3 linked regions of the Oryctolagus cuniculus genome follow. The protein of the gene in region 1 interacts with the protein of each later gene in a biochemical or structural test. Links are inferred from orthologs where the notes say so. Each region holds a gene or a part of one and is shown on either strand. Other genes may lie near its edges.

Region 1 (7,212 bases):
CTTCCCATCCCCCGACTTGGGCTGGGTGTGGTTTTGGTAGGATTGTGTGGCCTCGACCCACAGGAGCACTCCCCAGGGAAGAGGTGATTGGCGCCTGACCTGACTTGTTCTCTGCGGGAAGCTCCTGATGGAAATGGGCTTCTTTTGGAATTCGAAGGAGAGGAGCGTGCTACCTTCCTGAGAACGCCAAGCCCAACACCTGCCACTTCATTCACCTTCCCGACAGCTGTGCGCACTGGGCAGCGGGGCAGTGAACGGCCAGCGCAGCCACAGCTCAGAAACACTCACGGGGTCTCAAGTCAGGGTGGGCAGTGGGAGACTCTGACATGCGCAGGATACGGCCTTTCCTGAGACAGGCGAAACGGGGGCTCTTGAGCCTCAGCCCGCCTCCTGCCCTCTATGGAAACTTCTAGAAGGAGGAAGGTGTCTGCAGCTCCTCGCTGCGTTCAGTGTGCTTTAGGGACGCCCACAGGTGCTTCCTCTTGTCCAGGTTGCTCTGTGAGTGGTGTCTGGAAAAACTGGCCCAGGCTCTGGGCCCAAAGATGTGAGTGGGATACCCAGAGTCCCTCAGGGTTGCCACGTGCATGCAGGAGGCCAGCAGTCTGCTGGGGTTGTCCTTAGGCCAGCGCTGGACCTCAGAAGTATGATTCAAAGGAACCAGGCTCCCCGGTTACATTATACTTTTAAATGGACTTTTACAGGAAATGAAGCCTTCAACGTGTGCTAGCAAAGATTTTGTTTTGTTTTGTTTTCTTTCTCCAAAGGATGTTTGGAAGGTCGCTGCTCAACTGTGGTTGAAAGATAATGAATTTAGGTATCACTTGTGGTATCTACAGCCAAATATACCACCACTAAAATATAAATATTTGTTCTCTTGCAGTCAGTATCTGCAGAACACTAAGCGAAAAAGCCGGCCTGTGAGTGTAAAAACATTTGAAGATATTCCGCTGGAGGAACCAGAAGTCAAAGTAGTCCCAGATGTAAGTACATCTTTTAAAAATAGTCTTAGAAATAATACGAAGGCTGAAACACTAGCTACACAAATATTAGCCTAAGCTTTAGAGTCTTGGAGCCCCATCGTAGGGCTGTGCTTGGTGGTATGTGCCACGGGGTCATTATGGGGATGGAACTTTGGTTTTTCCGTGAAAGAAAGGCCCTGGTCCAAGGTTCAAGAGGGACTAACTTCGTGCCCAGTTTCACTGAAGTGCAGAGAGTGTCACTGGGAGAGAGGGCTGGGAACGGACCTCCCAGCTGCTCCGTGCCTCCTCTCTTCCCCACCCTGGGCCTACCTGTGGGGAGCACCTGCGCCCTCCGCTAGCTTGCGCCGTTCCAGCTGCGACAGCTTCACCTTCCCCTGCAGGACACTGGAGCGTGTGCTCTGATAGAGGAGTTGGGAATCAGGTGAAGTCAGTCGCGGGTCCCTGCCTGCGCGCAGTCAGCCGAGCGTCTCCTTGTCTCTTACGCAGGACAACCAGTCGGACAGTGGCATGGTGCTTGCGTCAGAAGAGCTGAGAACTTTGGAAGACAGAACCAAATTAGTTCCGGCTTTTAGGTAAGGCTCAGCCAAAGGAAACCAATTTCAGCAGGAAATTCTGAAAACTGTTAAGGGGGGTTTTGCCTGTTAGTGTCTTTGTTGGTGGGAGAAGCTAACGTCCTTAATTAGCAACCCAACAAAGACTGGAACAATGAAATTGACAAGTCAGAACAAACAATCCGAGGTAAACGAGAGGATTTGGCTAATTTGGATGAGAATTTGTGAGTGCTAGGAGATTTCTGAGTGTATTTACCTTGCCTCTTAGTTTGTGTGATACTTGCAAAATAACAAAAATCTCACAGGTTGCGATCCCTAAAGCTACCGATAGATTAAAATCATCATGGACATAAATGAGTGACTCTTCACTTAGGACGGATGCTATGTGAATAAACCACACCTATTTATTTGAGATGCTTCAATACTGCTGAATTCTTATGTACTTAATTGTAGACAAAGTGTTACATTTGGTTTTGAATATAATCTCTCCCATATGACTCAACATAAACTTGTAGTTGCTTTGAATGCCTGTAGTTGCTTTTAACGTAACAAATACATGGAAATCTGTGTTCATAAGAATAATAGGGCCGGCACTGTGGCTCACTAGGCTAATCCTCCACCTGCAGCGGCACCAGCACCCCAGGTTCTAGTCCCGGTTGGGGCGCCGGATTCTGTCCCGGTTGCCCCTCTTCCAGTCCAGCTCTCTGCTGTGGCCCGGGAGGGCAGTGGAGGATGGCCCAAGTGCTTGGGCCCTGCACCCCATGGGAGACCAGGAGAAACACCTGGCTCCTGCCTTCGGATCAGCGTGGTGCGCCGGCCACAGCGGCCATTGGAGGGTGAACCAACAGCAAAAGGAAGACCTTTCTCTCTGTCTCTCTCTCTCACTGTCCACTCTGCCTGTCAAAAAAAAAAAAAAAAAAAAAAAAAAAAAAAAAAAAAAGGAGTGGATTGAAGGAAACATTCCATGTCTAGTCTTTGGAGTAACTTTTAAACATTTATTAACAGAGTTGGCAAACCTCTTTTTGAACTTTTGTTTTAAAGATTTTATTTATTTATTTGAGAGGTGGAGAGAGGGAGAGACAGAGAGAAAGGTCTGTCAGCCACTGGTTCACTCCCCAGATGGCCGCCACGGCCGAAGCTGGGCCGATCTGAAGCCAGAAGCCAGGAGCTTCTTCTGGGTCTCCCACACGGGTGCAGGGGCCCAAGGACTTGAGCCATCTTCCACTGCTTTCCCAGGCCATTAGCAGAGAGATAGATCAGAAAAGGAGCAGCCAGGACTTGAACCAGCGCCCATATGGGATGCCGGCGCCACAGGCTGAAACAGCCGACTGTGCCAACAGCACCGGCCCCTTTTTGAACTTTTTAGCCTGAGTGATTTGGGCGCAGCACTGATGAAGGGGAAGACTCCTTAGAGAGGCTTGAGATGTCAGTCATGAAGGCTTCGGTCTGCACGGTGCGCACTGCCCGATTCTGACACGGGTCCAGTCTGTCGGGGTGCCAGGCCACTGAGCCCGCGCTCTGGCTGGGGCTCCGTCCTTCCAAGGAATGTGGGGTTGAGGAGCGAAAAGCGGTTTGTGACACCTGATCTGTGTGCACTCACATCTCAAGGGGGTACAGTTTCCAGTTGTTCAAAACTCTTATAACCCCCATACCTGTGCCTGGTCGTACCCTCACAGAGAGAGTGTGGAGAGCACTGGTGAACGTCGAGAACATCCCAGTGTCCCTTTGGTGTTTTTTTTTTAAAGATTTATTTATTTATTTGAAAGGCAGAGTTACAGAGAGGCAGAGGCAGAGAGAGACAGAGAGGGAGAGAGAGAGGTCTTCCATCTAATGGTTCACTCCCCAGATGGCTGCAATGGCCGGAGCTGTGCCGATCCAAAGCCAGGAGCCAGGAACTTCTTCCAGGTCTCCCATGTGGGTGCAGGGGCCCAAGCACTTGGGCCATCCTCTACTGCTTTCCTGGGCCATAGCAGAGAGCTGGACGGGAAGTGGAGCAGCCAGGACTTGAACTGGCACCCATATGGGATGCTGGCGCTGCAGGCCAGAGCTTTAACCCACTGCGCCACAGTGCTGGCCCCTTAATTTCCTTTAAGACCACCAAAGTGGCCTCTTGGCTCCTGTCCGTGTATACACACTTGGCACTCTGCAGGGCCAGAAAGCCGCTCCCTTGGGTGGCAACTTTGCAGAGCCCGGAACTGCCTTTCCTTTGAAGGGAGGCTTCAGCGACTTGCACCTGGACGGGGAGACCACGCTGCAGCCACTGGTTCACACCAGGACCTGAAAACAGATACTGTCCCAGTCAACCGGACACGCGGATTAACGACGACTGGGAGAGACAGGGTGGCTGGCGGGGTCCCCAGGGAGATGACAGCCCACGTGGAGCTGGGAACGGGCTTAGGGCGACAAGCAAGCACCCTGTCTTCCCTCCGCCCACTCACTTGCTCTCCGTTTCTTCCACAGTGGGATGATGTCCAGCAAGAGCAGGGAGTCTGTGGCATCTGAAAGCTCCAACCAGACGAGCGGCTACCAGTCCGGGTACCACTCGGACGACACAGACACCGCGGTGTCCTCCAGTGAGGAGGCGGAACTTTTAAAGCGGGTGGAGGCTGGAGGGCCGGCGGGCGGCCCGGCCCTAGGTCTCCAGCCTGACTCTGGCGCCCTGCTGAGCTCCTCTGCTGTTTAAAGGGAGTGCCCGCGTACCCCACTCCTGGAAGTCCCGGGAGAGGCGAAGCTCAGCCAGCCACCGCCGCCGGGAAGTAGCCACATGTGACTTTTGTTTCCATAGAAACCAGAAAGGACCTCGGACTGCAGGGAGGAGTCTTCCAGGCGCTTCCCAACATGCTCGTGACCCAAGAATGTGTGTGTGTCTCCTCCTGTGCCGATCTCCCCTTCCAGCGGTTTCCAGACTGCCTCTCACGTCCCCAGCCGGAAGAAGCGGCCGGCCCTGGGGAGCCACCAGAGCTGGAGAACTGGGCGGTGCTGCCCGTGCTGGGGGTGGTGAGGCCGGCCACCATGGACAGGGCCCGGGCCAAGTGCACGGCGCTGTGCAGGCTGCGGGGCCTGCCCACGCCTCGTGTTGGCTCCGGCGAAGGTGGCCCCTGGTCTCTTAGGAAAGGCCGCCCGGGGTTTCTGGTTGGAGGAGTTTGCGTGCTCTGGGCAGCTGGGCCAAAGGAGAGTCCCTGGTGCGCTTCCGACCCCTGATGAGAGGTCCTTCCGCACCCTGACGTGGCTCCTGGCCGAGTCCCGGGAAGGAAATGACGCAGGTCTGGCGCCTTGTCTCCCGGGCCGATCTGCTCTGCAGAGCGCCGAGAAGGAAAGACACTGGGCCCGAGGTGCCCTGTCCCGGGCAGGAGTCTGACCCTGCAGGCGGCTTCTAGAGCGTCTGGCTGAGTGTACACCTGGCCGACCTGGTGGCTGGTGTCTGGGACTGACCGCAGCAGGTGTCAGCCTTGCGCCCCTTCTCCCCCCTCCCAGCCCCACGCCCTCGCCCCCACATTGGTTCTTTGGGGGCCCTCCACACTCCAGTAAGCCCAACTCGATTTGTTCACTCTCTTGACTGTTAGCTTTTTGTTTTTTTCAAAATTACTTTATAGCCAAAGTTATAATAACATCTATTGTATTATTTAGACTTTTAACATATGAAGCTGTTTCTTCTGATTTTTGTCCTTGTTCTGTTCTTTTCTTTAAAAAAAAAAAGAAGAAACTATTTTTCCATTGGTTGGTACCATAGTGTGAGATGCTGGGAACAATGGCTATAAGACATGCTATGGCACACATATTTATAGTCTGTTTATGTAGAAACAAATGTAATATATTAAAACCGTATAATATATATAATGAACTTTGTACTATTCACCCTTCGTATCAGTATTATGTAGCATAACAATGGCCATCGTATTTCAGCAATTGTTGTCATTTTATTAAAAAAAGCATTGAAACCTTAAAGGATTCTCTCCTGTACCTGCCATTTCTTTGGTTTTTCAAAGGGAGGAGGGGGAGTTAGACATAGTATGACTGTTTTGCATTTTTACTGGTGCCTCTCTTCATCTCATAAAGGATATTTTCATAAATGTTCATCTACTTTGTAAGCAATAAAGATATTCATAGTAAAAAAAAAAAAACAAATGGTATGGTACTATCACAGCTATTTTGAGAACAAGTACTCCTGGCTTGAGTTGTAATTGTTCATTGCACAGAGAATTCACGCGCGTGCACACACACACACACACACACACACGATCGTATTTGTAACACAGACCGAGATCCGTGTTTCCGTGTCCTGCCCATGGACCTCATGTCTCAGAACAATCACTGGCACTGATGAATCTCCCTACTTTTGTTGTGACTTGTTACACGGGATTTTGCAATGTGTCACATATGCCTCTTTCGGTGGCTCTTCGGTTCTTCATGTGATCGAGGAAGGTCTTCCCAATCCTAAAACAACCCCACATTCTAGGTTTGCCTCTCTGGTTGCACTTGAGTCCACTTGGGATTTATTTGCACACGTGAGGGTCAGGGCATCGCCACCTGCACTTGCGCCCCCTTTTCCCGTGGTTGTGGAACTGCCTCCCGTAGCGTCTGTCAAACCTGTCGTCCCACTGAGACCTGCCCAGTTTTATGACGGAGAAGCGGGTGGCTGTGTGGTGGCTGCTTCCCAAGGACAGCACTGAACAGCTGGGCCAGTTGGCTGGGGTTGGGGGATCTGGGTCTCCTGCCAGACCTTAGCCAACCAGGGCTCAGGCTGGCCCTGAAGATGGGCCCTCCCCGGCCCCTGCTGTCACAACCTCTCCCCACCAATGAAGGGAAGCAGAGTCTAAGCCACTCTGGATATTTTAAAACACAGCGCTTTGTCATTGAGAAAAGATTGTCTCCCCAGTGGCTCCTGGCATTGGCCTCCCTGCCAGGAACTTGGACCCAACTGGACCCTCGCAGTGAGTGCAGAAATGTTTGTGGCCCTGGGGCAGCGTGGCTGGGAGGTGAGGCCCGGCCTGCTCCTCTCTCTCTCCTGTGTCGTGCTCACCTCCAGTCCTGAGCTCCTGTCTCTGCCTTGCCCTGCAGTGAAGACAAATGCGTGGCTTTCTCAAGAGAGCTGCCTGTAGGCTCTAACCGCAGGGCTTGGGATGATTTCGGCAAGGCCTCCCTCCCTCTGGGCTCCACCCCTGCTGTGCGTCTCCCTGCTCTCTCTGCACTGCTCCCCGGGAAGGCGGGAGCTGCAGGCAAGGTCAAGTTCATGACCCCTGGACGAGGTTTCCCTAGCAGCACACACATCCCCTTGACGTCTTTGGTGCGGCACACACAGCTTGTAGATGCTCACTTAACCCGAGTTCCCTGTCTCCCCGTCAGGTGTCTCTTTCTGAAGACATTTAGCAGCAGGTGATAAAATGCAGGCAAACCCAGAAAGCTAAATTCCTTTTCCCTTAGAGACCACTGGTGTGTTCGAGAGTTCGTTAGGAAGCACAGCTCAAAGGGGTCTGTTTTTATCAAGCTGGGCTTTGTAAATGGACATCTCCCACGTTAAAGTTAGGACTTCAGTAAAAATCTGTGTTGCAGGAAACTTTAAGTGCAGTTTTTGGATAAGTTAGAGAATATTCCAGAATGTTTAAGAAGTTGAAATGGCCAAGTCATGGACACTGGCTTGGATTGCAGTGGAGGGAAGTGACAGAAGCTGGGGACAGCAACCC
Region 2 (7,017 bases), on another chromosome or scaffold:
TGTCTCTCTGTGTCTGTGTATGTGGGGAGTGAGCGGCAGGGGTAGCTTGTGTGTGTGTGTGTGTCTCTCTGTGTCTGTATCTGGGGAGTGGGCGGCAGGGGTAGCTTGTGTCTTTGTGTGTGTGTGTCTGTGTGTCTCTCTGTGTCTGTGTATGTGGGGAGTGAGCTACAGGGGTAGCTTGTGTGTGTGTGTGTGTGAGTTTGTGTGTCTGTGTGTCTCCCTGTGTCTGTGTATCCGGGGATGCTGACCTGTATGGGAGTGTCCAAGTGCTGCACTGGGAGACAGTCCACCACTGGGGGGTGTGCGCACCACCTGGAACCCCAGTCCTGCCCTCCCCTGGGTCCCCAGCTCCTTGGATGCTCAGGTGTGCTGGCTAGCCTGGCCCAGGGCCTGTCCCCTCTGGTCCCCGCTGTTTGGGACCCCCGTGACCGCCTGTCTCCCCCCTGGTCCCTGCTTTGGGGCCTCTGTGACCGCCTGTCTCCCCCCTGGTCCCTGCTTTGGGGCCTCTGTGACCGCCTGTCTCCCCCCTGGTCCCTGCTGTCCGGGGCCCCTGTGACCACCTGTGCCTCTCGGCCACAGACCATCGCCAGCCACCACATGCAGTCCATCTCCTTTGCGTCCGGTGGTGACAAGGTAAGGCCAGGCTGGGGGGGCAAACCTGCAGCACCTGCCCACGCCGGGGTCCCAGATGGCCCCGCTGACTGCTCCCACTGCCCCCCCCCAGGACATGACAGATTACGTGGCCTACGTGGCCAAGGACCCAGTCAACCAGAGAGGTGAGGCTGCGGCCATGGCTGCAGCGGGGGGCGTGGGCAGGGGCTGCAGCCGCTGGGTCCTGACGCCTGTGCCCCCCAGCCTGCCACATCCTGGAGTGCTGTGAGGGGCTCGCACAGCGCGTCATCAGCACCGTGGGCCAGGCCTTTGAGCTGCGTTTCAAACAGTACCTGCACAGCCCCCCGCAGGTGGGCGCGCCCCCGGACAGGTAAGCCACCGGCGGGGCTCCCGTCTCCTGGCTGCAGGCTGGCCGTGTCTGCTGGGAGGATGGCCGCCGGACAGGGCTGCGGGCTGCATTGCAAGACCAAGGGCGCCCTAAGTGTGTGGGTGCCTGGGCTCTGGCTCTGGAGGGGGCCCCGGGGCACGTGGTCCCCCACCCTGTGTGTTTGCGTGGGGGCTGTGCTGGGAGCTCAGTGTCCTCTGTCCAGGCTGACCGGGCAGGAGGAGTCGGCCTGGGGAGAGGAGGAGGAGCCCCCGGAGCACAGCTACTACAACAGTATCCCAGGCAAGGAGCCGCCCCTGGGGGGGCTGGTGGACTCCAGGCTGGCCCTCGCCCAGCCCTGCGCCCTCGGGACCCTCGGCCAGGTCAGCCTTTGTGTCCTGAACCCCTGACCCGACCCCCAGGTGCCCTGTCGCTCCATCTGCTCAGTTTTCCTGAGCTGGGCTCTGTCATTCCCGTGTCCACTTCATCCTGGCTGTGCCCACAGCAGGACTGGTGGGGGGGTGGGTGGGGGGAGGCCTTTCCTGAAGAAGCAACCTCTGGGCTGGGCCTGGGAGAGCAGTGTGGGGGCCAGCAGGGCAGGCAGAGGGGCCAGGGTGGTGGACAGAGGGGCCAGGGTGGTGGGCAGAGGGGCCAGGGTGGTGGGCAGCGGGGCCAGGGTGGTGGGCAGAGGGGCCAGGGTGGTGGGCAGCGGGGCCAGGGTGGTGGCAGAGGGGCCAGGGTGGTGGGCAGAGGGGCCAGGGTGGTGGGCAGAGGGGCCAGGGTGGTGGACAGCGGGGCCAGGGTGGTGGGCAGAGGGGCCAGGGTGGTGGACAGCGGGGCCAGGGTGGTGGGCAGAGGGGCCAGGGTGGTGGGCAGAGGGGCCAGGGTGGTGGACAGCGGGGCCAGGGTGGTGGACAGAAGGGCCAGGGTGGTGGGCAGCGGGGCCAGGGTGGTGGGTAGAGGGGCCAGGGTGGTGGGCAGAGGGGCCAGGGTGGTGGACAGCGGGGCCAGGGTGGTGGGCAGAGGGCCAGGGTGGTGGGCAGAGGGGCCAGGGTGGTGGACAGAAGGGCCAGGGTGGTGGGCAGCGGGGCCAGGGTGGTGGGCAGAGGGGCCAGGGTGGTGGGCAGCGGGGCCAGGGTGGTGGGCAGAGGGGCCAGGGTGGTGGGCAGCGGGGCCAGGGTGGTGGGCAGAGGGGCCAGGGTGGTGGACAGCGGGGCCAGGGTGGTGGGCAGAGGGGCCAGGGTGGTGGACAGCGGGGCCAGGGTGGTGGGCAGAGGGGCCAGGGTGGTGGGCAGCGGGGCCAGGGTGGTGGGCAGAGGGGCCAGGGTGGTGGACAGCGGGGCCAGGGTGGTGGGCAGAGGGGCCAGGGTGGTGGGCAGCGGGGCCAGGGTGGTGGACAGCGGGGCCAGGGTGGTGGGCAGAGGGGCCAGGGTGGTGGACAGCGGGGCCAGGGTGGTGGGCAGAGGGGCCAGGGTGGTGGGCAGCGGGGCCAGGGTGGTGGACAGAAGGGCCAGGGTGGTGGGCAGCGGGGCCAGGGTGGTGGGTAGAGGGGCCAGGGTGGTGGGCAGAGGGGCCAGGGTGGTGGACAGCAGGGCCAGGGTGGTGGGCAGAGGGCCAGGGTGGTGGGCAGAGGGGCCAGGGTGGTGGACAGAAGGGCCAGGCTGGTGGGCAGCGGGGCCAGGGTGGTGGGCAGAGGGGCCAGGGTGGTGGGCAGCGGGGCCAGGGTGGTGGGCAGAAGGGCCAGGGTGGTGGGCAGCGGGGCCAGGGTGGTGGGCAGAGGGGCCAGGGTGGTGGGCAGCGGGGCCAGGGTGGTGGACAGAGGGGCCAGGGTGGTGGACAGAGGGGCCAGGGTGGTGGGCAGAGGGGCCAGGGTGGTGGACAGTGGGGCCAGGGTGGTGGACAGTGGGGCCAGGGTGGTGGGCAGCGGGGCCAGCGTGGTGGGCAGCGGGGCCAGGGTGGTGGACAGAGGGGCCAGGATGGTGGGAAGAGGGGCCAGCACAGCAGAGGGCCAGGGTGGTGGGCAGAGGGGCCAGGGTGGTGGGCAGTGGGGCCAGGGTGGTGGACAGTGGGGCCAGGGTGGTGGGCAGCGGGGCCAGCGTGGTGGGCAGCGGGGCCAGGGTGGTGGACAGAGGGGCCAGGATGGTGGGAAGAGGGGCCAGCACAGCAGAGGGCCAGGGTGGTGGGCAGAGGGGCCAGGGTGGTGGGCAGTGGGGCCAGGGTGGTGGGCAGAGGGGCCAGGGTGGTGGACAGTGGGGCCAGCACAACAGAGGGCCAGGTGGCAGACAGAGTGACCAGCATGGTGGACAGAGGGGCCAGGGTGGGCTTGGCAGGAGGGCTGGGCTGCCCTTGCATGGGGAGAAGGCTGGTGAAGGGTGGGTGGTGGGCACCATGCAGACCCCGGTGGGCTCTGGGTGCCCAGGGAGGGTCTAGGGCGGAGACCCCCAGTGTCCCTGGGAGGAGGGAGGCTGGGTGCTGGGCAGGGTGTGTGGGTGGTGAGGGGCCCCATGCTTCTCTCTCAGGGAACGTCCTCTCTTGCCCGGAGGGAGGCCCGTGGCCTGCAGTGGGACCTTTGGCCCTGCGGCGCAGGTAGGACTGGGTGAACCCGCACACCCCCAAGGCCGCCAGGGGCCCCTCAGCCCAGCTTGGCGCCCTGCTCCTATCTGAGCCCCCAGGTCCCTTGGGGTCCCTGTGTCAAATGGCTCCAGGCACCCAGGAGGGTGGAGGCCTCACAGGAAGTCGCTCACTGCTCCCGCCCCCCTCCCTGGTCGGGGAGCTCCCAGAACATGCATGGACGGAAGCCAGGCCACACGTGTGCTGGGGACACGGCAGCGGTCACACGTGAGCTGGGGACACGGCAGCGGTCACACGTGAGCTGGGGACACGGCAGCCAGGTGACACGTGTGCTGGGGACACGGCAGCGGTCACACGTGAGCTGGGGACACGGCAGCCAGGTAACACGTGTGTTGGGGACACGGCAGCCAGGTAACACGTGTGCTGGGGACACGGCAGCGGTCACATGTGTGCTGGGGACACGGCAGTGGTCCCACGTGAGCTGGGGACACGGCAGCCAGGTCACACGTGTGCTGGGGACACGGCAGCCAGGTCACACGTGTGCTGGGGACACGGCAGCGGTTACACGTGTGCTGGGGACACGGCAGTGGTCACACGTGAGCTGGGGACACGGCAGCCAGGTGACACGTGTGCTGGGGACACGGCAGCCAGGTGACACGTGTGCTGGGGACACGGCAGCCAGGTCACACGTGAGCTGGGGACACGGCAGCCAGGCCACACGTGTGCTGGGGACACGGCAGCAGTCACACATGTGCTGGGGACACGGCAGTGGTCACACGTGAGCTGGGGACACGGCAGCCAGGCCACACGTGTGCTGGGGACACAGCAGCCAGGTCACACGTGTGCTGGGGACACGGCAGCGGTCACACGTGTGCTGGGGACACGGCAGTGGTCACACGTGAGCTGTATAGGTGAAGGCCCCACCCATGCACCCCTTCTTCCTGCAACCCCACGGCAGTCAGGGGTCAGGGAGACCGGCCATGCAGCTGCGCCTTGGCCCCACGCCCGCAGACGGCAGAGAGAACGTGGGGGAGTCAGGCAGGAGTGGCGGACCACAGGAGCGCAGGGCCCCCCGGCACCTGGGCCTCTCCGGTCACTTCAGGCCCCTGTGCGGCTTTCCAGCCCACTGTGCCTGGGCCTTTGCGAGCGGATGGGGCGGCCTCCCCCCGTCCAGAGCCCCTCCCGCATCCCCGCTGACCTCAGCACTCCCCTCCCTCGCCAGCGCCGCCGGGGGACGGCTACGTGCAGGCGGACGCCCAGGGGCCGCGGGACTATGAGGAGCACCTGTACGTCAACACCCAGGGGCTGGACAGCGCAGAGCCTGAGGACCCAGCCGAGGACAGCCCCAAGAAGGACCTGTTCGACATGCGTACGTGGGGCCTGGGGGGCCCTGTCTGACGGGGGAGGCCTGGTGGGCTCCCACAGAGGAACTCTGGGATCTTCTGTGGGAGTCTGCAGTCGGGTGGGAGAGGCTGTGGCACGCTCCCATGGTGTTTCACGGTGCATGGGCCCCAGACTGGGGGTGCCCAAACCTGGCTTGGACCCCCGCCCTGTCTGTTGGGGAGGCGTGGCTCCCCATCTCTGGTTTCCCCAGTCTGATGAGGGCGGCCTGGCCCACGCCTCCGGGAAGAGACTAGTCTGATGGTGGAGGTCCATCTGGTGGATGGGGCCTGCCTTCCTATACCCAAAGTGACTCAGTCCCAGCGACCCAGCAACCCCACACTGCTGCTGGATGTGGCGGGGGCTGGGGTCCCTCAGGACTGCCCCCTAGGGTCCCCCATGCTGCTGGAAGCCCCCATCCGTGTCACCCGACCCCAAGATTTCTGACTGTTGCCAGGCCTGGGGACGCTGGCGTAAGGGGAGGGAGCCCCGGGGCTGGGCGGTGAGGCTGGGTGCACGCTGGCTCTGAGGGGCGTGTCCAAACCACAGTGGTCCCCGCTGGAAGCAGGACGCGGAGGGACTTCTGCTTGGTGGGCAGTGGCGATGGCAGGTGTCCGGGGTGGGGGGAGCAGTGTTGCGCCGCCAGCCGTGGCCAGTGCTGTAGGACCAGCAGTGACCCGCGAGAGCCCACGCTGGGAGGGAGGGCGCGGGGCAGCCGGAAACCAGGGGGAGGCAGATGTGTGGTCGCCGGGGAGGGCGCCAGGCTGTGCGCGCGGCGGCGCGGGGCCCAGACGCCGCCTGGAAGCTTGGGGGGAGCCGCCCGCCCTCCAGCTCCGGCCCCGCGCCCACCCCTCTCCTCCCTCCGCAGGGCCCTTTGAGGATGCGCTCAGGCTCCACGAGTGCGCCCTGGCAGCCCCCCTCCCCCTGGAGGACCAGTGGCCCAGCCCGCCCACTCGCCGGGCCCCCGTGGCCCCCACGGAGGAGCAGCTGCGGCAGGAGCCCTGGTACCACGGACGCATGAGCCGCCGCGCAGCCGAGAAGCTGCTTCGAGCCGACGGGGACTTCCTCGTGCGCGACAGCGTCACCAACCCCGGGCAGTACGTCCTCTCGGGCATGCAGGCCGGGCAGCCCAAGCACCTGCTCCTCGTGGACCCCGAGGGCGTGGTAAGCGGGCGCGGGCGGGCGGGCGGGTTTCCGGAGGCGTCCAGGCCACGCCCTTCCGGCCGCAGTAGCATCCCCCAGTGCTTTGCAAGCTGGCAGGAATCTCAGGGCTCCCGAATTGTGGTTCACAAAAGTGCTCCCGCGGTTCAGTTTCCGGATGTGCAAGGCACCGCGGGTCACCTGGGTCCGATGCGCTCTCCTCCCGCGGCCACCAGCACCTTCCAGTAGACACCGATGTCTTTGGGCGAAAATACGGCTTTCTCAGCCACGTGTAGTCGGGCTTTCCAAGCAAGATCTCTCGTACCAGGCGCTCAGGTGTGGTGCTGAGCTGCTGCAGGTGCAGGACCGGCCCGGGGCGGTGGCAGTGGACTCCTCGCTGGCCAGGAGCCCCGGGGGTGCTCAGAGGAGGCGCAGGCTGGACTTCCCCGGGGGGCCGTGGAGGCACATTGCTGGCCGCGCTCTGTGACGCGGACGCTGTGTTTGGCCCTGCAGGTGCGGACGAAGGATGTGTTGTTTGAGAGCATCAGCCACCTCATCAGCTACCACCTGCAGAACGGGCAGCCCATCGTGGCTGCCGAGAGCGAGCTGCACCTGCGCGGGGTGGTCACCCGGGAGCCCTGAGCCAGGTGTGTGTCACCTGCTGCTTGCCCAGGCAGCAGGCTGTTTGCTCTCCTTACCAAAAGATGAGCTACACGCCCCGCAGCGCGCAGATCGGCCGTTAGGAGGATTCGCCGTGGTGGGTGTTAGCACATCCTCATGGTCAGGCAGCCCTCGCTTCTGTCTGCTTCCGGAACGTTCTCACCCAGTAGTAACCCTGGTCTCCAGGAAGCCACTCCCTCTCCCCCTCCAGCCCCTGTGCTGGGCGTTTCCCGTCAGTGGAGCCCACACGTGGGGCCTTCCGTGTGTGCGTCTCTCCCTGGGTGACGTCC
Region 3 (7,343 bases), on another chromosome or scaffold:
CAGGCCTTGCAAGGTGTGGGGTGGGCTGGACAGACTCCCCGGTGGCCAGCCCTGCTCCTGGCTCATCCGGCCCGCCCGCTCGCCCCCAGGCTGTGTCCGGGAGCTGCGTATCCAGGGCGAGGAGATCATCTTCCATGACCTCAACCTCACCGCGCACGGCATCTCCCACTGCCCGACCTGTCGGGACCGGCCCTGCCAGGTGAGCCCACGCGTGCGCCCCCTGGCGGCCCCAGCCACTGCCCTCCCTCGGCCGCGGCCAGCCCCTGTGAGGAGAGGGGAGGGCCAGGGTGTGCTCGGCCTGACTCTTGAGGGCTGCTTTGCAGAACGGGGGCCAGTGCCACGACTCGGAGAGCAGCAGCTATGTGTGCGTATGCCCGGCTGGCTTCACCGGGAGCCGCTGTGAGCACTCGCAGGCCCTGCACTGCCACCCAGGTGTGTACCCCACGTCTGCCTGGATGCTCGCCTCTGCCACCCCTTCCTCTCCACCCACACCCCAGCCCATCACGCTTAGCCAAGAGCGTCCCACTCCTCCCAGATAGCCCCTCCTCCAGCTCTGCCAGCCAGGGAGCCCCCATCACCACCACACAGGTGCCTGCCCACTACCATCTCACTCACTGAGGGAGGATCACACCCATCTCCCATCATACCCAGCCCCGCCTCCCCTGCCCTGGTCACTGCTGGCTGGATGCTGACCACCAGGCATCCTGTGACCATGGAGCCACTCACTCACTGCCCCCAGCCTCCTGGGAAGCCCTCCCAGGCCGCCTTGGCCACAGCTAGCCAAGGACACACGTGCATCAGGGCCCCACCCCCCCCCAAGTCACCTCTGTCCTCCTCACTGGCCTGTGTGTCCCCCAGAGGCCTGTGGGCCAGACGCCACCTGTGTGAACCGGCCCGATGGTCGGGGCTACACCTGCCGCTGCCACCTGGGCCGCTCGGGGCCGAGGTGTGAGGAAGGTGAGTGGAAGTGGGCCCGGGATGCCCTGGGGGCTCAGTGATGGTTGGGGAAGCTGAGCAGGGCACCCTGAGACTAAGATGGGCCCTACAGGTATAAACTCAGCCCAGAGCCAGAACCAGTACAAAACTACCTGGCCGCAGGTCCGCCCAGCCTGAATCCCTCCCGTGAGGGTCCCTCTCTTATGAGAGTCCCTCCCAGCCTGGTGTGCAGTGCCGGGCACAGAGGCTCCCAGGCTGCTCCGGCTGCCTTGCAGCTGGTCCTGAGCCCCTGTGGTCGGCGGGGGTCCCGGAGCGGGGCTGAGCAGCAGGACCCGCCCCACACTCCGGCATCCCCACTGCTGCGCCCTGGCTGAGCTGTGGCTGCCACAGGTGTGACAGTGACCACCCCCTCCATGTCGGGCGCCGGCTCCTACCTGGCACTGCCCGCCCTCACCAACACACACCACGAGCTACGCCTGGACGTTGAGTTCAAGCCGCTGGCGCCCGATGGGATCTTGCTGTTCAGCGGGGGGAAGAGCGGGCCTGTGGAGGATTTCGTGTCCCTGGCGATGGCTGGTGGCCACCTGGAGTTCCGCTATGAACTGGGGTCAGGTACGTACCGGGCGCCAGAGGCAGATGGGCCTCAGGGTCCCAAGCTCTGTGGCCCCCTTGGCCTTCCATGCCCCACGGAGGCGGGGAGGAGGAGACTCGGGGGTCAGGCCCCTGTGGTCCCCTGTTGCTACTGTCCCTTGCCACGGTGACTTTAAGCCCGTCCCCAGAGCCTTGGGTTCCTCCTTTGGGGTGGCCAGCGATGTGGGAAGTTCCCCATCTGCCCAAGTCCCCAGCCCTGACTGCTGTCCCCCACACCCCAGGGCTGGCTGTTCTGCGGAGCCCCGAGCCGCTGGCGCTGGGCCGCTGGCACCGCGTGTCTGCTGAGCGCCTCAACAAGGACGGCAGCCTGCGGGTGAACGGCGGCCGCCCCGTGCTCCGCTCCTCTCCCGGCAAGAGCCAGGGCCTCAACCTGCACACCCTCCTCTACCTGGGTGGCGTGGAGCCCTCCGTGCCGCTGTCCCCGGCCGCCAACGTCAGTGCTCACTTCCGCGGCTGCGTGGGCGAGGTGAGGAGCCACCTGCGAGAATGACTAGGGGAGAGGGGTGCAGGCTGAGCCGCCGGCCGTGTCCCACTGGGGTCCTGGGAAAGATGGTTCGCCTCAGAGTCTCAGTTTCCCCCTCTGTAAAATGGGACCAACACCTCTGTTGCAGCAGTGCACTGAGGGACCCACCGCCCGGGTGGACGGCTGTTCCTGGCACATAGGGGTGTCACCTCGGCACCTCTGGTCCACCTGTCGCAAGGCTCCCATCTACCCTCTACCTCTTCCTCTTGGCTGGCTCACGTGTCCCCCTGCCTCCTGCACCCCTTTAGTCCCTCGATGTCCCTGTGCCCACAGGTGTCTGTGAACGGGAAGCGGCTGGACCTCACCTACAGCTTCCTCGGCAGCCAGGGCGTCGGGCAGTGCTACGACAGCTCCCCGTGTGAGCGCCAGCCTTGCCAGAACGGTGCCACCTGCATGCCCGCTGGCGAGTACGAATTCCAGTGCCTGTGTCGCGACGGCTTCAAAGGTAGGACAGCTGCCCGGGTGCTGGGGGTCCGCGACACCTCTGGCCCATGCCCACCACGCCCTCACCTCTGCCCTGGCCCCCAGGTGACCTCTGTGAGCAGGAGGAGAACCCTTGCCAGCTCCACGAGCCTTGTCTGCATGGGGGCACCTGCCAGGGCACCCGCTGCCTCTGTCTCCCTGGCTTCTCGGGCCCACGCTGCCAGCAAGGTACACGGCCCTGGCTGCTTTCCACCGCCCTCTTGGGACCCTGGGGCTGGACCCAGCGCGCAGCGGAGCTGTGCCCACCAACTGGGCCCCGGTCTTTCCCGTAGGTCCTGGACATGGCCTCGCGGAGTCCGACTGGCACCTGGAAGGCAGCGGGGGCAGCGGTAGGTGCCTGCTGTGACCCACAGGGAAGCCGGGGTGCTGGTCTCCTCCCTGGCTTCTGTCCCTCAGCCCCGCTCTCCAGCCCACGTCTTCAATCCTGAGCAAAACAGGCTGTGTGAGGGCCTCACAGGGCACAGAAAGGGCAGAATGAAGAAGGGCACTGCCCAGAGCTGAGTCCTGCCCCATGCTGACCGGCAGGGTGACCTCGGACAGGTCTTTGAGCCACTCTGACCTTGCTGTCCTCCCCGTGCCCATACTGGGGACAGTGAAGCATAGATGAGTAAGGACCCTCATTCTCCAGGACTCCCCCATAATATGATAAAGAATGCTCATTGGTCCCTTGCAGGCTCTGTGCTAGCTCCTGTTTAGGTACGTGTTCCTTACTCCACACTAACAGACTAGGAGAGATGGTGTGGAGTAGTTAAAGAGCCCAGACCCTGGAGCCAGCCTGCCTGGGTTCAAGTCCTAGCCTGCCCCTTAATAGCTGTGTGCCTTTGGATGAGTCCCTTGACCTCTCTGTGCCTTAGTCTCCCCATGTATAAAATAGAAGGAATCTCTTCCCAGAGGCTTTGGGTACAATGCTGCCTGAGAGTAAAATGGTTGGGTATACTGAGCATGCTCAGAACAGCATCTGGTCTGGGACGCTGGCCCCTTTGACTGTGGGGTGCTGGAGGTCTCAGCTCAGGGGAATGAGGCTGGCAGCTGGCTGTGAAGCTCCCTGCACAGGCTCACAATGGGCGCTTGGCAGATGACAGCAGCCATTGTCCGGGGGACGGTGGCCAAGCGTCCTGCCCAGTGCTAGCCCGAGGGTGGGTCGTGAGCAGATGGGGGTGGAGGAGCTGCACACAGGACCTACGGGAAAGACCAGGGCCCAGTTGGTGGGCACAGGTGGCACTCCAGGCTTCCCACTCCCTGGGCAGGTAGCTCAGCTGAGTCTGACCTCCCATCTGTAAAACCGGGAGAGCACCAAGGCTCCAAACCACTGTTCGCCATGGCCCAGGCGACCGCCCGTCCCGGCCTGCTCAGGACCGAGGGGCTGTCTGGGGATGTGGGACCTGCAGCGCCAAAGCCAGCCAGAGCCTGGCAGATGGGGAAGGGGGCCAGCCCACAAGAGCCTGCCCGACCATGTGAAGCCAAGGACACCGGTTGAGCCGAAATGTATGGAAATACTTTTAGATTTGTCATCTCTGCACTTCTTTATTAGCACAATAAATAGGGAGGCCTAGCGGAGGTCCTAATAGCAACCACGGCGTCAAAGCAGTGGGCAGCGCCCGCAGTACTGGAAATTTCTACACTCGAGCCGCGGGCTAAGCCAGTGTTAGTGGCCGGGTCCCTGCTTTGTCACCTACGTCCGTAACGGCCAAACTTCAGTACGAAGTGAATAAAAGCAGACGGGATGGTTCTCTGCCCAGTCGACGGCCCCCGGGGCTGCTCGGGGACTGCAGGTTCAGAGCCCAGGAGTGCCCAGGTCACAGCCGAGGTGGGGTCGGGGCACTCACACCTGCTGCTCACCACCGCCCCGCCCCCCTGCTTCCGCAGACGCCCCGGGCCAGTACAGCGCCTACTTCCACGACGGCGGCTTCCTGGCCCTCCCGGGACATGTCTTCTCCAGAAGGTGAGGCGGGCCCTGGCAGGACCGGGGGCCTGGAGGGAGCCTGGGATTCCAGGGCTCTGCCCCTCACGCCCTCCTCCCCTGCCCGCAGCCTGCCGGAGGTGCCCGAGACCATCGAGCTGGAGGTTCGGACCAGCACAGCCAGCGGCCTCCTGCTCTGGCAGGGAGTGGTGAGTGTGGGCACGTGGCCCAGTTTCTGGGGCAGGCAGCCGGCCTCCTGCTGGCCGGGGCCACGGGGAGAGAGGAAGGGGGAGGCTACTGTTTTCCAGGGCCTCTGCTCTCCAGGGCAGGGGGCCCCAAGAGACCCTGTGCTTCCCCGGCAGGAGATGGGAGAGGCCAGCCGAGGCAAGGACTTCATCGGCCTTGGGCTTCAGGATGGGCACCTTGTCTTCAGGTGGGTCCCGCCCCTGAGCAGCTTGCAGCGCCCCCACCCCCGCCACCCCCACCCCCTCCTCCGTTCCTGTCTGGCTCATACTCTCTGGGGCCCGTGACCGCAGCTACCAGCTGGGCAGTGGGGAGGCCCGCCTTGTCTCTGAGGACCCCATCAATGACGGCGAGTGGCATCGGGTGACGGCGCTGCGGTGAGGGAGCCCGACTGGGCACTCGGGCAAGGGGCCCCAAGTTCTGGGGTGGGACCCCAAGTTCCGTGGAGGGCAGGGAGGCGGGCATTTGAGCTCTGCAGAGATAGAACCTGAAGCTGGGCAGAGAGACCAGGAAACGGGGTTGTCGGGGCCCAGTCTCTCACCCGGCGGGCGCCAAGGAGCTCAGGGGGCTGGGGGCAGCTGCGATTCCTTGGGTGGGCCTGGGAAGAGGGGGGGCGGTCTGTGGCAGGGGCCTGACCCAGTTCCACTACAGAGAGGGCCGCCGAGGCTCCATCCAGGTGGACGGTGAGGAGCTGGTCAGCGGCCAGTCCCCAGGCCGGAACGTGGCAGTCAACACCAAAGGCAGCGTCTACGTGGGTAAGCACCAGGCTCGGGTCCACTGCAGGCCTGGAGCCACCCTCAGTGTGAGGGGAGGGAATGGCACTCATGTCGAGAGCAGTGCACCTGCCCTGCCTCCCCTCCTGGCTTCTGGAGCCAACTCACTCCCTCGCTTCGCCTCCCGCAGGCGGAGCCCCCGACGTGGCCGCTCTCACTGGAGGCAGGTTCTCCTCGGGCATCACGGGCTGCATCAAGAACCTGGTGCTGCACTCGGCCCGGCCCGGCGGCCCACCCCCACAGCCCCTGGACCTGCAGCACCGCGCCCAGGCTGGGGCCAACACGCGCCCCTGCCCCTCGTAGGCACCTGCCTGCCCCCAACGGACTCCCGGGCAGCGCCCAGCCCGACCATGTCGAGTATATTATTATTAATATTATTATGATGATTTTTTGTAAGAAACCGAGGCGATGCCACGCTTTGCTGCTACCGCCCTGGGCTGGACTGGAGGGGGGATGACACCCCCACGCACACCTGGGCAAAGCCACAAGGCTGGTAGGCGGGGCAGGTCGGATGGAGTAGACGCCCCAGGAGGCCACCAGGACGTGGAGTCAGGCACGGTGGCTGGGCAGGCCCTGAGCTGCTCCCACGCGGCCGCCCTGAGGGGCCCCTCCGGGCAGAGCCAGGATGCCCACCTCAGCAGCCCTTGCCAGCCCTCATTCCTGGGAGAGCCCACCTCGGCTTCCATCCTGGTGCTCGCCGTCTACCTGGAACAGGAGGGCATCACGGGAGCCCTGGCCACCCCCTCTGGGCTGGGAAGCTCTCTAGCGTCTGCTGTGGCGCAGAAGGCAGCTCCCCCTCCCCCCAGCCCACGTCTCAGCCTCCCTCCATCTCCCCGCCCCCAGCCGGCCAGGCCACCTGTGCCGGGAAGCCTCCCCACTCCCACCAAGCCCCCTGGCCTGCACTCCCCACCTCCCACGCACAGCCCAGGGTCCCTGACCACAGGGGCTACAAGGGAACACCCCCCCCCCCCGCCCCCGCCGGAGCTGTTCCAGGCAGAGCTGAGCACTGAGAGGCTCTCCACCCACGCCAGGCCCCATCCCCCCACTCGTCTGGAAGTGAAGGCCCAGGGGACTGGGGGGCTGCTGGCGGTCGGAGGAGTTGGTGCCTTAGGAAGGGGATCGCCAGCCTGTCCCATCGACGGGAGCCTGTCCGAGGCTGGGGGGTTGGGACGCCCGGCCTCCATGTCCGAGAACGGACCCTCTGTGGTCTTTGTCCTGATTTTTCTTAATAAACGGTGCTATCCCCGCCAGGGCTTGCCTGTGTGCTTTACTGGGGTTTGGCTCCAGGGCCCCTGCAGTGGGGCAGAGAGAGCAGCCGAGGTCCAGGAGTGAAGCGAGGCAGCCCCCACTGCAGAGCGCAGCCACCAGCAGAGCTCGGGCCTGGTCACCGCCCCCACCCCCCCAGCCCTCACCACCACCCTGCAGGGCGGGAATGTCCCATTCCCTGAGGGGTTTAAGTGGCTGACCCAAGGTCAGCCAGCTGAGGGGTTGGAACCCGAGGTCCATCTGACCCCAGAGCCCTCTCTGACGCCCGCAGCCCCTCTAGGGGTGGTCTCCCCGACCTGGGGAGACTGGCCCACTCAGCTGCAGCCCTCCGGGGGCGACTTGGCCAGGACACACGCGGCAGACAGTGCAGGCTGGAGCAGCAGGCCACCAGGCCAGCCGGCCAAAGGAGCAGCAGCACCAGAGGAGACCCACGAGGAGGCCAGCACAGGCCAGGAGCAGAGAGGAGGCCAGCGCCACGCCCCATCGCCAGGGACCTGCGGGAAGGAAGAGCCCACTCAGCCCTCAGCCCAGGCCGATGCCCTGTCTGTCTTCACCATGTGTGATGCCG

What was found.
Region 2: the proteins of KDR (region 1) and SHC2 form a complex in vitro, tested with the Homo sapiens proteins (2 studies listed by BioGRID). The link is inferred for Oryctolagus cuniculus from reciprocal best matches to the Homo sapiens genes KDR and SHC2.
Region 3: the proteins of KDR (region 1) and HSPG2 form a complex in vitro, tested with the Homo sapiens proteins (2 studies listed by IntAct). The link is inferred for Oryctolagus cuniculus from reciprocal best matches to the Homo sapiens genes KDR and HSPG2.

The regions. Positions count from the first base shown.
Region 1 is NC_091439.1:109,315,733-109,322,944, forward strand, and holds the end of KDR (vascular endothelial growth factor receptor 2 precursor), read left to right. Parts: intron 1-880; coding exon 881-980; intron 981-1,466; coding exon 1,467-1,552; intron 1,553-3,991; coding exon 3,992-4,214; downstream 4,215-7,212. UniProt on the Homo sapiens protein: Tyrosine-protein kinase that acts as a cell-surface receptor for VEGFA, VEGFC and VEGFD. Plays an essential role in the regulation of angiogenesis, vascular development, vascular permeability, and embryonic hematopoiesis.
Region 2 is NC_091447.1:58,292,563-58,299,579, reverse strand, and holds part of SHC2 (SHC-transforming protein 2), read left to right. Parts: intron 1-579; coding exon 580-633; intron 634-724; coding exon 725-776; intron 777-855; coding exon 856-982; intron 983-1,202; coding exon 1,203-1,359; intron 1,360-3,495; coding exon 3,496-3,562; intron 3,563-4,769; coding exon 4,770-4,916; intron 4,917-5,795; coding exon 5,796-6,091; intron 6,092-6,580; coding exon 6,581-6,709; 3' UTR 6,710-6,714; intron 6,715-7,017. UniProt on the Homo sapiens protein: Signaling adapter that couples activated growth factor receptors to signaling pathway in neurons. Involved in the signal transduction pathways of neurotrophin-activated Trk receptors in cortical neurons.
Region 3 is NC_091438.1:149,170,019-149,177,361, forward strand, and holds the end of HSPG2 (basement membrane-specific heparan sulfate proteoglycan core protein), read left to right. Parts: intron 1-89; coding exon 90-199; intron 200-323; coding exon 324-432; intron 433-858; coding exon 859-957; intron 958-1,326; coding exon 1,327-1,548; intron 1,549-1,808; coding exon 1,809-2,053; intron 2,054-2,383; coding exon 2,384-2,555; intron 2,556-2,638; coding exon 2,639-2,761; intron 2,762-2,865; coding exon 2,866-2,922; intron 2,923-4,459; coding exon 4,460-4,535; intron 4,536-4,623; coding exon 4,624-4,702; intron 4,703-4,855; coding exon 4,856-4,926; intron 4,927-5,029; coding exon 5,030-5,113; intron 5,114-5,387; coding exon 5,388-5,491; intron 5,492-5,639; coding exon 5,640-5,812; 3' UTR 5,813-6,759; downstream 6,760-7,343. Other genes in the region: LDLRAD2 (low-density lipoprotein receptor class A domain-containing protein 2), read right to left, coding at 7,052-7,269. UniProt on the Homo sapiens protein: Integral component of basement membranes. Component of the glomerular basement membrane (GBM), responsible for the fixed negative electrostatic membrane charge, and which provides a barrier which is both size- and charge-selective.